Lepisosteus oculatus: one gene and its partner. The protein of the gene in region 1 interacts with the protein of each later gene in a pairwise test. Links are inferred from orthologs where the notes say so. Each region holds a gene or a part of one and is shown on either strand. Other genes may lie near its edges.

Region 1 (7,773 bases):
GCATATGGAGCCAATCTGATTGGGGTGGGATCTTACCTTTGTATTAAAGTTGATTTCTATGGCCTTAAGTAAAATTTAATTCAGCACCTGTCAAAGACATTTCAGACAAGAATATTTTTTAAAAGAATGTATAAAAGAAAAATAAAGGAAAGTGATTGAGATTCAGGCCACAGATTCCCGCCGTGTACCTGTTGCTTACCTGGATATGTTCTGACAGGCTCCCTGTACTGGATAAAGTGGTTAAAAAGTGATGTAAGGAAGACTCACTGATGGTAGTTTTTACCAATAACGAAACTGGGAGTGTGTTTTGCTTCTCAGTAATATGTTCTTGTAAGTATGAACAGCAGGGGGAGCCTGAAGAAGAAAAAACCTTCATGTTATTTGTTTGGGAAGGAACGTTTTGTTTAAAATGAGCAAACCATGACAGCAACAGTGGCAAATAACACTGAATCTGACAGCTTTTAATGGAGCAAGTGGTCTGATGAGACACAAAGTACTTCCACTTGAGCGTTCTGTTCATAACATAAAACTTGTAAGCATCCTATAACTGTATCCCGTACCTGCAAAGTGTAATAATTTAAAAAATAAAATCCTATTTATTTAATGAGGCTGATAAACAATGATTACAGTCCATGCAATTCTGGATTATGCTAATCTATACTAATAATAAAGAATGATGATTCAGGTACAGGATTTTGACCTTGAGTTTTTTTTAACAATCTGTCAAGTGAATCATACAATTCAGGTCCTATTCTTCAGCAATGAGAATGCAAACTTTGTTTATAAAGGTAATGCGTGCATGCAGCAGGCTCTTCAAGTATTTCTTTGCAGTTTTTGTAGTTTTACTGTGCTCCCAGTGTTAGCATAGACAATCCTGCTAACACTGCAGGATTCTACAATCCATCCATTTTCTAATGACTTAATCCCATTCAGGGTCACAGGGGAGCAGAAACCTGTCCTGACAACCAACTGTACAAGGCGGGGTGTACCATGGACATTCTTTGTGAGACACAAACACAAACATGGACACACATACACACTCACACCACGTTTTATATTCAGAGAAGTCAATTAACCTATTGGTATGTTTTTGGACTGTGGAAGGAAACTGGAGGTCCAGAGGAAACCCATGCAAACATGGGGAGAACATGCAAACTCTGCACACCAGGTCTGGAATTGAATCCAGGGCTCCAGCAATGTGAGGCAGCAATGCTAACCACTGCTCCACTATGCTACTGCAACTCTACTACAACATTTTAAATCTGCAGTATATGAGGGAGCTCACTGATTTTAATGAGAACCAATTAATTAAGGTTTTGAAATAAGACAATTTTAATGGTCTCTATCTGTTGTTACTGGGGCAATTTAATATATTAATTACATAAGTAACTAAACATTTTTAAGGATACTAAAGACAATTACCTTCTGATTTTATAGTTTATGATTTTCACTTGCAGTGAGTGATGGAACTTTTGCAATGGCTGACCTGGTAGTAGTGCTGGTGATTAGCTTGCTAGCTTCCACAATTGCTTTTGAGCTTTTTTATTTGACCATGAATGTTTTTATTAGAAAGTTACAGAGAAACCTTATTTGTATACAATATAATATGGTTTCAAACTAAAAAGCAGACAAAATTAAAAATATCAATTTGAATAGAAAAAAAAACATTTTCATCTTAAGATCAGTGAAACCCCAAATATTGTTAATGCAGTTCAGCATATAGAAAACATAACTATTAATAACCTATTTTTTATATATAAATGAGTATCCTCAATTGTGTAAAGTTGTGACATTAAGACATAGCAGCTCAGCTGACCATAAGTTTCATACTTAATAAAGAACCACAAAGGGTGTGAAAAATACAATGCGTAATCAGTGTATATTATACATCAAGGGATGACATGTTAAAATTGTACAATACATTACTATGGCCTAATTTAGAATATGATATACAATTGTGGTCACAATGTCACAAAAATATACAGTACTGCTGCTGAATCATTCCAGGCAAGTGCAATATCCAATATAATAAAGGGTTAATAAAACTCATATACAGTATAAACATGCCATAAACAAATGTTCTTATATTATTTTACCACTAAAATAATAACATTTACCTTTATAATACCTTTACCATAATATCTTTAACACAAATCTAATCAATTACCTAATTAACACCCACTGTGTAGCTATTTACAAAGATTAGAGGCTGCCCAGCAGCCTATAGTGGCTGGGCGGCTGTAACTGCAATCCTGTTTTTTGTCAGCCTGACATAGAGAATGATCCATTAAAATTAAGAGGAACGCACATGTTCCCTATATATCTATATGTTTATCTATGACTGACCAATTGACCTTTAAGTGAAATTTTGACAGATACAGGGCATAAGATATGGTGTATTTACATTTTCAGAAAGCTGTCTATAAAGTTACTTATCACAGATTTAATTTGAAATTACAGGCTGAAGTCCTGCAAGGAAATGTATGCAACTGGATTGAGAACTGATTAATAATTAGCAAATAAACATGATTAAAACTAAATGATTAAATTGGGGCGATGTAATTAGTGGAGTACCACAGTATTTACCAGGACCACAGCTATTCTTAATTTATATTAATGATTATGGTATAATTCGTAAACTATCTTTCAGATAATATCAGATTAGAATGATTAGCTAACACTGTAGAATGTACATAGTAGAATAACACTGTAGAATCAGCAAATGGAATTCCCAAAGAATTTGCTTTAATTCAAAACTGGGAAAACACTTGGCAGATTGCATTTAATCTACTGTACAGAAGTGCAGGGTTTTGCATGCAGTTAGTATAAAAGTAAAAACAATAGGACCCAATGAGCTAGACGAAGCTACTTATGAAGAGGACTTTGGTGTTTTTGTCAACACATTGTTTACATCTTCCAGAAAGTGCTGGTAAATAATAAAAAGGCAAACAAAATTTTAGATTGTATAGTCAAAAGTACAGAATTCAAGTCAAGGGATGTCACATTAAAATTGTACAATGCACTACTGTGGTCTTTTTTGTACAATGTTATGTACAATTGTGGTCACAATCTGGAATCATTCAAGAGAAGAGCAATAGAGGTGCATTCCAGGACATAAAGGAATAAGCAATATCCTACACTGACAGATTGAAATACATTTTTAGTTTTAAACAGAGAAGAATATGAGGGAACTTCTACAAGTATTCAAGATGCTCAAAATCAGCACAGCGGACTGAGTGGTAATGAAGAATATAACATGAGTGGGTAGGAACATGCTCCTGACTGCCAAATTCATATACAACTTATATGAATGTACAACTATTCAGTCTTTTGCAGTTAATTCAGGAAAATATGTTTAAAAGAAGTTGTTATTGTGGGAGATATTAACTTTCCCCGTGTAGATTTGGACAAACCACCAGGTAGGTCAGTAGCTGAAACTGCAATGGTAGAAATGGGTAATGAATGATTCCATACTCAGATTATCAGAAGCCCAAGGTGATGCCTGTATTGATCTAGTGTTTTCAAACAATCGAAACAGAGTGAGGAAAACCATCACAGAAATGTGATCATAATATGTACGTTTTGAAGTATATTTAGAAATTCTGCTAAGCCCAAAAGAAAGATTGGCAATTTCGGAAAAACTGAACATAAAGGAAAGAGTCAACCTGAAATTTAAAGAAATGTTTTTGCTGTAGATACAAATGACATAGATTCAGTAGAGTGGATGGCAACACAAAGTTACAAATACGGAGCAGATTCATCCCAAAAGAAAGTCAAAAGCAAGAAAGGAAAGCTGTAGTCTGTGCAGAAAGCACTTTATACAATGATTAAAAGAGAACAGGATCTAGAAAAGAGGTATTTTATTCTATTATATAATTTTCAAATAGATAATTTAAAAATATTATATATGCAAATTCTGCTTAAAATATACATAATTTAATATAATTGCAATATAGTATTATTTAATATACATTTTTGCATACTTCCAGGGGTCTAGTAGGAAATTACTTTATATTAGCATGTATGCGCCTCACTGCTTCTGCCCCCCATACCCTTTAAAAATAGAGGCAATCAAGTTAATAATCAGGAAATGTCTTGTTCCTGTAAGGAAACGGGGAACAACTATAGCCATTTGATCTATGCATAAGAGGTATCCGAGGTTTTATTTCCGCTTGACAATTTTCATCACTGTATTTCAAACATTTCAAAACACTTTCTCTTGAAAAAATACATAACGTATGGTAAATACCGTGAGTGACGGTATTTGAATGCGCAATATTTGCTGTATCATTATTTTCAATGTTTCGTCTTAAAAGCCTTAAAAGAGCATTTCAGTTTCAGCATAAAGCCAGCTAGTTTACTCAACGAATTGTATGTCTCAGTTGGTGTCCTCTTTTTAGTTTTTCATTTAATTAATATGATCGTTCCTGCCGTGTGCCCATCTATTCTTAAGAAGTGCTAGCTAAGCTGACACTAAAGTCTGCGTACTCGTCCGGACATATAATGTAGTTAACACAGCAATTGGCAGCAGCGAGCACTGGCGATGTAAGAGAGACAGCCCGTCTCTGTCCAGAGCGGCTTCCCAGCGCAGTTGCTTCGGTGCTCCAGCTTTCTCAGTCCTATGGCAGGGCTGACGTCATTGAGCAAGACAGTGGGCTGAGCTAAAGGTAGGGGGAGAGAGAGAGAACGAGAGTGGAGTTGCAGGGCCTGTAAAGAAAGGACCTGGAATAAAACTGGATTTTTCTTCCCCTCTGTCAAGTATTTTATATAAACGTTCTGAACTGCACAGGGGTTATTTGCATACCTGCCTCCCCGCCCGATCCGACCGGAGCTACACCAAGGTAAGAGGGAAAGAAAATTAAGGAACTGAGTATAAAGTTGGTGTGGCAGCTTCTGGAGGTGGTGGTGGGGGGGTACTGTAATTGGCGTTGGTGTGTTTTCGGTTCATTCACAAATCGTCCTGAGCAGATGGATATCAAGCCGTGTTTTAATAAAAGCAAATACATTCCCTGGGCAAAGGGGTCTGGAAGACCTCTGAAGTAAAATTCCCATCATTAGGTGCTTGTGCTTTTAGATGGTTTTAGTGTTGAGCTCCGCGTTAAGCTCAGTGGCTTTGTTATTTGTGGCTGAGACTCTACAGCAGTACAATAGACGGGATTCAATAGGATGGTGATGATGGCGTTTCGGAGCCGCTTGTAAAGATTCCGCCTTCGAGGGGCTCTTGCCTGCCAGCGTTCTCTCTGTGGAAAAACGCACGAATAATTCATGGCAGATAGCTGCCGGTTTGACGATAAGGGGGCTGTAACTTTAAACGTGTTATTGCGTCTTGTAGTGGTTTAGATATCTTGCATGTGTCCATTGTCTTCACGGTATCGCTTCAGTGTGCATTGACGTTGCTGTTTGCTGTATAGTCTTCCAACTTCCACAGGAAAAATAGAAACGACATTAAGTTCTTTGTCCCATAATAAGCATCATGCCCAAATCGCAATTTTTTATCGATATCATTTTTTTGCTCAGTGACTGCTGACAGCCACAACAACCACACGTTATCCACAGTAATGGTAATGGGGTGTGCATAGTCATTAATGTAGAATCGAAAACGGTTAATAGTGATGAATTTATTGTCAAAGCATAGCTCTGCCAGAAATGTTTAATAAACATATTGGTATGGGTACATTTTGGAAGAGAAAAAAACTTTAGTGTCTTTTTTGTTATTGATATCAGCCCTATCCTTGCTGAATTAGATAAATATTAAAACACACCCTGATTTAAGTACAGGTATGACACTCTATTCCATATTTATAATACTAACAACACTCTTATATAGCCTAAAGTATTGTATGTCACACCAATATCTATATGAGCTACTAATTTTAATCTTGTGAAGATTTTATTGCTGTTTTAGTTTAAATTGATATGGTATTCTGTCAGAGAAAGGCTGAATAATAATGGCTTTTTCTTTTTTGAGCATTAAAATTAAAATTGTAGGCTCTTTTCAAAAACTGAGTTGCTATGTCTAATTCTCATCTTCAGTTTTACATGTAGATGGAAAATTGCTCTTTAGGTTCTTTAAGGTAACAGCCCCATAGAAATGAAGTCACCTTGTATTCTCTGCTTATAACATTACTTGGATGAGTCTTCATAGGCACATACTGTAGAATGAAACTTGATAAACCACTATAGGTAAAAATAGTAGGGCTTTCTTTTCAACATTCAAATAAGTCATTTGGGAAAATATGAAATGCTGACATTGATGTATTAATAGTGTCAGAAATGAAAGCACTCGCTTATCTCTTTTAGTTTTGTAATAATAGATACCAGACTTTCTGAACTAATTTGTTTTTGTATTCTTTAGCCTGTTCAGGCACATCTTGATTAATTGGTATCACCTACAAACTTTTCTTTGCCCATTTCAACATTTGTTTTGCCTCGTTAGACATTTGCAGACATGCAGGGAAACTATTACAATTCTGTTATACTCTCTTCCGTGATGATCGCTTTCTATCAACAAAAAAATTCAATGACAAAAACAGCTATGCTAGTAAAGCCAAACTTAAGTGTGATATCAGACACAAGGGCCAAGTAAGTGGAACAGGTAAGATCTCTCAAGATGTGCTAGCTATAGCATGAAGAAGTCATAAGGTACATTTCATGTTGTCATGTCTCGTTTTTCATTCATAAAGCTGTCATACATGGTGATGGTAGGCAATTCTTTAAGTGTAACAATAAATGGGCTTACAGAATGCACACAGGATAGCAACACCTCTGTGATTCCTTATACGTATTGACATAGTCAAGTGCCATTGTCAGTGCTTGGGCTTGGAATTGTAGGCACATGGACAATGGGTACAATAGTCTTGACAGTTTTTCTTTCTGCTGTAGATGAAGGTCTTTGTTTTTCCCCCCCCTATCTTCCTTGTGAATAGGCAGCCTTTCCTCATAATTATTCCCTCAGTTGTTTTCTGTCCTGAAGAGTAGTGGATTCTTTCGACTCAAGACTTTGGCCTTCAGTATATTTACAGCAAACAGGTTAGGAAGAGTAGTGTTTGACCCCTTCTTAGGAGTGATCCACACAGCTTTACATTCTTGTATGTTTTGGTTGTGGCTAACATTTGAATGGCCTTTCAATGTTGCTTTGTTACCAGTGCATAATTGGACACTGCTGTCTTTTGATGCCTTTTCCCTTCAGAGCATGCCACGTCTTGTGCATCCCACTCCACCCTGTGTAATTTATAAAGGTCTGTTTTTTAATTCATTTACTTTATTTTTGAAAATAAATAAAACAATAGCTTTGGACAAACATCTCTTAAACTGTAAGCCATGGTGATTTCATACTGCAGTGATCAGCTTTATTTGATTTTTTTATGACTGGAAATAGCCACAGAGTGCTGTTAAAGTACTTGAGTCTGGTTCTTGTACAGTGTAGAGGGCTATGCAATGAACTAGTGTTTTCAGAGTTTAGCAGTATGCTTGTGCTTTAACCAGTCGATGACTGTAAACATTCCTAATATCTTTGCTGTGCACCCTGTATTCCACTTGGGAATGAATGTATAAATCTTTAGTTGCAAACTGGCAGAATTATTAGTTATGTATTCTGTGTTTCAGAGATTTCTAGACTCCACATTCCTTGAGCAACTTATGTTCTGAATGTGATAACTTAAGTGTATCTGCCACCTTAACCTTCCCTTTTAGATGCAAAAGAATTGAACAGCGACTTCAAGAATCTTATCTTTAAGCAAAGATAATGAGGAGATGACAGTTCTTTTCAGTATG
Region 2 (7,485 bases), on another chromosome or scaffold:
CGGAAAAAAAACCAGGCTTCCACCAGATGGAGCGGGGTCTTGGCAAAGGTCAAGGTTAGCACAGACTACTATTGAATCGGCTGCAGTTTCGCAGATAGAGGCACCCATCGGGGCTTCTCACAATCAAATCTAATACAAAAGCCGGTCGCAGAACGAAATCGCTTCATCTGAATGCTAAAATTGTTATTAGGGTACATTAGGAGGAAGCCACGCACGTGATTGGAAAAATCCTTGCAATTTGTGATTGAAATAGAACCTATTAGTTGTTGATTGGATAGCAACAAAGTTAAGTGCTCTTTTATGGCCCTGATTAAGAAACGGAATTTGAGCCACAGGACCGTATTATCGTTCATAATAGTTTTTTTTAATTTTTCAGCTTTAACATCATATGGTTGCCATTGGGTATTAATTCTTGTAGGCTAATCCTTCCCTTAAAGTAGACAAATTATGAGTCAATTCCAATACCTTAAGCTCCTCTGTCGTTTAAAACGGCGTTAAAAGGTAAACGCCTTAAATTAACGATGGCACAGTGTTTTATTAATCTTAGAGAATCGTTATATGATTATATAATAAATCAAGTAAACACAGGATTGTGTAATGCATAATGAATCAGGACAACACGTTTTTGAAACAACAAATGGATTGATTGCCTCAGGTACATTATCGTATGTATAATATCAAACTATTACATGTAGTGTTAAAATGCATCAGGCTGGGCAAGCTGGTGTCACCTCACAGATGCAGGTAAGATTAAACAGACCACTTCAGTAAGTTGCTTGGTAGATGTCAACCTTAATTTCTTGATGCATATATATATGGAAAATAATCTAATGCTTGTTCTATTTTTACCCCTATATGTAACTCTTAGGTGTCTGTACACCTTCAATAAAAACAGTACATTGCACATAAAAACAACACACACACACAATTTACATAATCAACTTGACAGAGTCTAGTTCATTGTTTGGAGGAATGTGCAATGACACCTGAAATGCATTGATTATGTTTATTGTCAACTTCATAAATTAATACAATTCTTGATCTTTAACCATTTCCCATTTCATTCCTTTAAAGTAGGGACACCCCTTTGAGCTTGTCAACACAAACACTTTCTGAAAGTTGCATTGTTCTTTACAAAATCAGCAATAAAGCTGTAATCTGTCGCAATATAATCTCACTGCCTATTAAAAAGCAAAAGCACCTTTTCACATCAAATCACCCGGGCAATTGTTTCCGTTTGGGAAATTACAGAACTACAGGCAACAAATGTCTGACAATTTTATGGAAACCAGATTGACCCTTGGAGTCCCTAACTAGCAATCTGTCCAATTCCTAAATACTAGAAGTTAAAAGCGTGACAAAAATCAAGAGTAGTCAAAAGCTTAAATTTAGAGGATGGGGGGTGGGACTCATACGGTATATGCTACTGAAGTTAAAGTGAAAAAGAAATGCCACTTTTAGAAAAATATTACCAGACTGCATCCGGGTATCTTCTTCACTGTCACAACAGACTTGTGCACAAATGTCATGACAAAACACAAAGGCAATACTTCAGTAATTGAATCCGTGACGGGTATAAGACAAATCCTATACCAGAACAATTAATTTGTATAAATCTGAAGAGTTGTCTGGTCTCTGTGGAATATAACTCAGTTGTCATTTCAGACTGTTTTGCAGTTAAGAACCCCAAAAAAACCCATTAGGTGTTCAAAGAGCTTAAAGAGAATATATCTGGTGTTTGCATGGCATTTAGCTTTTCTGTAACCTCTAGATGAAAGTTGTTTCACGAAGAAAGGCACTGCATTTTAAATTAAATTATGTTACTAAACACCCCATCAAATCCAGTTTGTCTATATGAAATACCTAACATGAAATGTATGTGGGCCCTCTTTTTATGAACACAAAGGGTTAAAGGGAGATGCATTACCAGCATACCAAACGTTTACGTACAATTTTATTTAAGGACTCTATGAGAGATAAGTTTATTAGATATTCATTATTCATACCAGTAATGCCCTTTAAGTGTTGCAGCATATATTTTACTCAATATTCATCACACACTCACATAAAGAATACATAAAATCAGAAATATATCGATTAGCTATAGACTTTTACTGAGATGTATTATATATTAGAAAGACGTTGCACTCTCGTTAACATTGCGCCCATGCAATAAATCAACATAACACGACCGTTTTCTGCAAAAAATGATCAACACCCACTTTAAATTGCTACTAAGTTTCTTAAGTGTTTCTTATATAAAGTATGACTAAACGCAAGAGCTGTGTGGTCAAGTATGTCATATCTACTTATATATTATAATAAAGGATTATTATTAATTATGCTTCAGCCCATGTTTAACGCACATTACCAAGTTAAACGTTAAATACACTAAAACATTGAATCACATTTAATTAACAAATAGTGGGTATATACTGTATATATAAAACAGGTTAGTATAAGCACGATCGTTTGGTCAGATAGAACTGCCTTACAAACCCTCTGCAACATTTCAAAGAAAGAATATTGCATTTTTGCAGAAAAGTAACCTTAACTCAAGTGTACGTATTAAATTAAGTTAAGCACTCATATTTACAGTATGTTTAGGGACCTCCGATAAGCGTAAGATATTAACACTTTAGCCTAGACAGCAGGACTCAACTAGCATATACTGTTTATACATAAAAACTAGTCAGTGTCCCATTTACTTTAATTTAAAAATAAAGAATAATTTCATACCACATCGAAATGAGTTCTTGGCAGCTGCAAGACATTACATGCTTGATTTAAGGGGACACAGAACCCCTTTTAGAAAGAATAGCCTGCACCGATATTTAAGTAGGTCGTTTTCTCTGAAACTGTTCTAAAAGCTGTTCTTAAAACCCTCTAGATTAGGCTTTCTCATTTCTGAGATTTCGTATCGTATGTTTCGTACATGTTTATTAATATCAGCCTGCTTTGTAGCCCGTATTTTGCAAGAAGGCTCATATTCAGGTAGCTTTTCCTGACACCGAGACGTTAATACTCCCTTTGAAACCGCCAGTACGAACCAGGTCTACGCGCAATCTTACTCTTTACTCAGTAGACTACGTTCTCATTTTTAATATTCGTAGACGGCATTTACAACTTTCCCCGTCGTATCCCCATAACACATATTTATATACTCTCCTATCTTCATAATCTCCAAACTTTAGCTTTCCATATTCATAAATCTTCAAAAAGAAACCCAGGACTTGTTTGACAAATACCGGTAAATAAACTAACCTTGACCGGCAAATATTTTCCCCCACTGCTGAGATTTTTCTCCGATGCTCAACTTCCTCTCCGATCCTTTCTTTCTCTATTTTCCCATTCATTTTTACCCCATCCCCTTTGTATCCTGTCTCAGAATCCGCGTCTAGCTCACGTTTTCATTCCACTTCGCTCTTGTGATTCACTTGTGCAGCCGCTAGTCTTAGTACTTTTTATTAGTTTGCATGGCTATTTCTCCTACCCACTTCATACACAGTTCATGTCATCGCTTTTGTTTTCTGCCTGGTGTCTCTTCTAGTATAAGCTGTCATTATTTAGTCTCCGCTCTTTGGGAGGCGTTTTGTTCTTTTCCTAAATCGATTTCCGCGAGTGTCTGTGTTTTTCTCTCCCCCTTTTCGTCTCCCAGCCCTTTGTTGGAACATACTCATCGACCCACCGCAGATCTTTTTGGACATTTGCATCCTCTCCCAATTTTCGTTCACAGCCCACCTTTACCTGCTTTAACCCCTATTGCATCACATGTTTATTTCAAACTTAGTTCGTTCACTCCCCCACCGTCGCCGTGTGTCAGACTTTACACTTCGGTTTAAAAAAAAAAAAGAAGCCGCTTAATTTCTTAACCCTCTTTTGATCTTTGCTGTTTTTTTTTCTACTCCTAGTCCTCCTTTACTTTTACCCTGCTGCGAAACCTGTCTGTCCCATACAGACAACCTGCTAATAATATCTTAAGTTCTGTTTCGTTTCTTAGCTCAGTGGTCGCTGTGCTCCTTGGCTACTGACACACACGAGGTGGTCTAGCTGTGTGACCACGAACTTATTTTTCACTGTGTTTCCGTGCCCAGATCCCTGATCAATGTCCACTGCGACAGCTTACATTAGACGGGGTTTTTTTTTTCCCTTCACTGCCATATGTCCAGCCCCCTGATCCCTTGTCCATTGGCTTTTCTTGGTCTATTTTTTTCACGTCCAGCCCCCTGATCAATGCCCACTGCTTTCACTAGACAGCTTTTTTTTTCCCTCTTGTGCCTCTTGTCCGGCCCCCTTGATCTCTCTGTCCATTGGCTTCTCCGGGTCTATTTTTCATGTCCAGCCCCTAATGAGTGTCCATTGGTTTTGTTATTTCCATTCCCTCCTCCTACTCTCTGTCTTTGCCCTGCCCATGTTTTGTATGTCTGTGTCCATCCATCTCCTGACGTTCAAGTTCGCAGGGACGTCACGTCCGCACTTGAACTTGCAGCTCAGGGGGGCTTTTGCCATTTTTTTTCATCTCTCTCTCTCTTTTCAAAAAAGCCATGACGGCTATCCCACAATCCATCTTCCCTGCGCCATCTTTGTATTATTTCTAATTTATTTTGGATGTCAAAGGCATTGATGAAGATATTTTCTCTGGAGTCTCCTTTCTAACCCGGCTCTCCCGATGTGAACCGAGCTCAAAGCCACCACCAAGCACCATGTCTCGCCGTAAGCAAGGCAAACCCCAGCACTTAAGCAAACGGGAATTTTCGCGTAAGTAGAACAAAATTGTAATTTACACCCTTTTCTTCACTTTTTCCAGCAACAGTCTTTAATTTCCTGCAGTAAAGAAGAGAAACAGTGACCAGGAGCAAAAATCTTGGTGAAGGTGGTGCTGGACATTGGACACCGAAGATCGCGGTCAAGTGGACTTCACAAAAAAAAGCGTGGCGAGATTTCTTTTGCACCCAGAAATGCCAATACGAAATGCGGTTTTCTTAAAACTTAAGCAGAAAAAAAGTTTTTATTTTTTTGCATTCAGCTTTTTGAATCCGGAGCACTTTTACAATAAGATTTTCTAGCGTGCTTAAGATATGCCTTTCGTACCCCTTGTGCTTAAGCCGCTAAAGGGCATAGGGTAGGAAGGCGATTGTAATAGGTATGCATGCTTTATCATATTTATTATTTCTAGTGGAAGCCCCTGTAACACTGTCTGTTTACTGCCTGGAGAGGATTTCCCTCCTCTCGTACTATTTTTTGGAAGATTTTCAAAAAAGTGGAAGTGGATTTTGATTGGGAAAAATCTCGTGTCTGACTGTTTACAAGCACCGCGTGTGCGGAACCTCCTGCCAACAACATCGAAAGGGGAAAAAAAAAGAGTAATATTCGCTTAATTTTCTTTCGAAAGCTGCGTAGACCGCTGTCAAACGGATGGATTTGTAATCTAAAAGCTTTATGTGCACTACTTGAGAAAGATTGCTCTTAGATTCGACTCTAGTTGTTTTAGGGGACGGCTTTATAAAGAGGAACAGGAACCCCGGCTTACTCTTCTTTTCGATTAAATATTTTCCCCCTTTTTACACATAGATTTTTGGATCGACTGTTATGTTTATTTTACTTTAACGTAAAAGGGAAACTCGCAAGGTAAGGTAAAATAAAATGTATGCATGCGAGTCAGAACAGTTGAGTTGCCTCTTTCTGTTTTCGTTTCTGCTTTTCATAGATGCAAAAAGTAATCATTTTGCAGACTTGCGCGGCGTATATAGCACATTATCGTCTGGGCTCTGCATGTGTTCAGGGATATTTAAGTTCGCCACGTTTGTTTTTGCGTGTGGATACGTTTTTTAAAGCTTTATTGGAAACGAAGGCGACACACTGTTTAAAACCGTCCAACATTTGGCAAACGCAGTAAGCAAGCGTATTTGGGACCCCGAGAGATCGGAATTCGCGATTGAATGAATGAAATGTTATGTTTTACATCTTTATTCACAAAGATCTGTAAACCTTGCGTTTTAACGACTCGAATCTTGCGAGAACGATTCCGTAATGTTCCTTGTTCAAGACACATTAGTGTTAAAGCGAGCCGTTTGTCTAAGTTGCATTGAAGTATTGCTTTGTGTGACGGTTCTGTCGCTAGGAGGCAGAAGATGATCATAAACTGGAAATGAACTTGAACCTGATCAATTTCACCGCCACCTCAATCTACATATCCTGACGATATGTTTGGAATAAAAAGGAAATACATAATACGCAGGTTATAGCTTCTTTTTTCCCACCCACTTTATATCTTATTTTAAGTAAATTAAACTCGTATAAATGACGAGACACCGTCGATCATTCAAATGATTTCTAATTTACTGGATATCTTTTTTTTTTTTACTTTTGGTACCCTTTCACAATCATGAAAATGAAAAGGAGCTTTAATTTAGTAATTGAAAGCCACGCGTATTTTCAACATTTTCTGTAACGCATCAACTTATAAATAATAAGCTTTAGTATGCACAGAGGTTTCAGGCATTAAGACTCTCCATTTAAGGTTAGTATTTTATGATTTATTATTGTTGTCCACCTCGTTCATTACATACCTTAGCTCGTAAGCATTTTTCTGTACTTTGAGTTTAATACGTGTATGAAACTTACGTATTTTTTACACTTATTATATAGAATAATATACTATTATATTGAGAGTATTCTAATTTTCGTTTGAAGACAGGAAATCAAAATGGAAAAACTATAAAATGTCCTTGTGTGGCGTGTTTCCTTTAGATCCACGTGTTTCAGTATTAAATCATCAGGAAAGTCGTATTACCTCCTCTCTTAAGATATTCAGGGGAGCTAAGGCTAAGAAATTTATGTGGAATTTAGGTGGAATTTATTATACAGTTGTATAGTTTTTAATTAAAAAAAATTTCAGGCATGCAAACTAACAATGAAATGTTCAAAAGGTAATTTTAAATGAAGCCCTTTTAATTGTGTGCAGGTTTTGTGTCTTTCCTATATTTCTAGCAACGAAGATCCAGTTCCTCACAGCAAGCTACTTTGTTGAAAGTATTCTGAATCAAAGCAACATTTTCGCTTGTTACGTTAGAAGTAATCGCAAGACGTTTTCAAAAACACGTGAAATCAGTGAACTGTAAAAATGTATGCTCAATATTAGTAAAATATGGAGCAAAAACACAATGTTGCTATCCAGTTTTCCTGGATTTCATTATTTCTGCCACTTTTAATAAATATTTTAAGTATACATTAAATTGTTTGACAAAGGCTACTGAGTGTATTCTTGGAGACAGTTGTTTTTAAAAGAAAATACAATGATAAAACAGTTTTGTCCTGTTAGAGAGATTGTTTTTATATACATGGTGGGCAGGCAAAAAACTTTCAAAAAATGTTTCCCCCGAGTAATGTAAACATAAGAAAGTGGCAGAATTTTTCAGAGTAGCTGTATTTGAGGGCGGTGGCAATGAGCGTGTTGTTATTCCTCGCTCATTATTTATTTCCCGA

The links.
Region 2: the proteins of cytoplasmic protein NCK2 (region 1) and bcl11aa interact in binary tests that used the Homo sapiens proteins (3 or more experiments, as listed by UniProt). The two-hybrid records come from large-scale screens. The link is inferred for Lepisosteus oculatus from reciprocal best matches to the Homo sapiens genes NCK2 and BCL11A.

The regions. Positions count from the first base shown.
Region 1 is NC_090710.1:24,271,613-24,279,385, forward strand, and holds the start of cytoplasmic protein NCK2, read left to right. Parts: upstream 1-4,666; 5' UTR 4,667-4,841; intron 4,842-7,773. UniProt on the Homo sapiens protein: Adapter protein which associates with tyrosine-phosphorylated growth factor receptors or their cellular substrates. Maintains low levels of EIF2S1 phosphorylation by promoting its dephosphorylation by PP1.
Region 2 is NC_090712.1:9,969,420-9,976,904, forward strand, and holds the start of bcl11aa (BCL11 transcription factor A a), read left to right. Parts: upstream 1-4,406; 5' UTR 4,407-4,703; coding exon 4,704-4,758; intron 4,759-5,233; exon of another isoform or gene 5,234-5,363; intron 5,364-5,394; exon of another isoform or gene 5,395-5,628; intron 5,629-6,084; exon of another isoform or gene 6,085-6,520; intron 6,521-7,485. UniProt on the Homo sapiens protein: Transcription factor. Associated with the BAF SWI/SNF chromatin remodeling complex. Binds to the 5'-TGACCA-3' sequence motif in regulatory regions of target genes, including a distal promoter of the HBG1 hemoglobin subunit gamma-1 gene.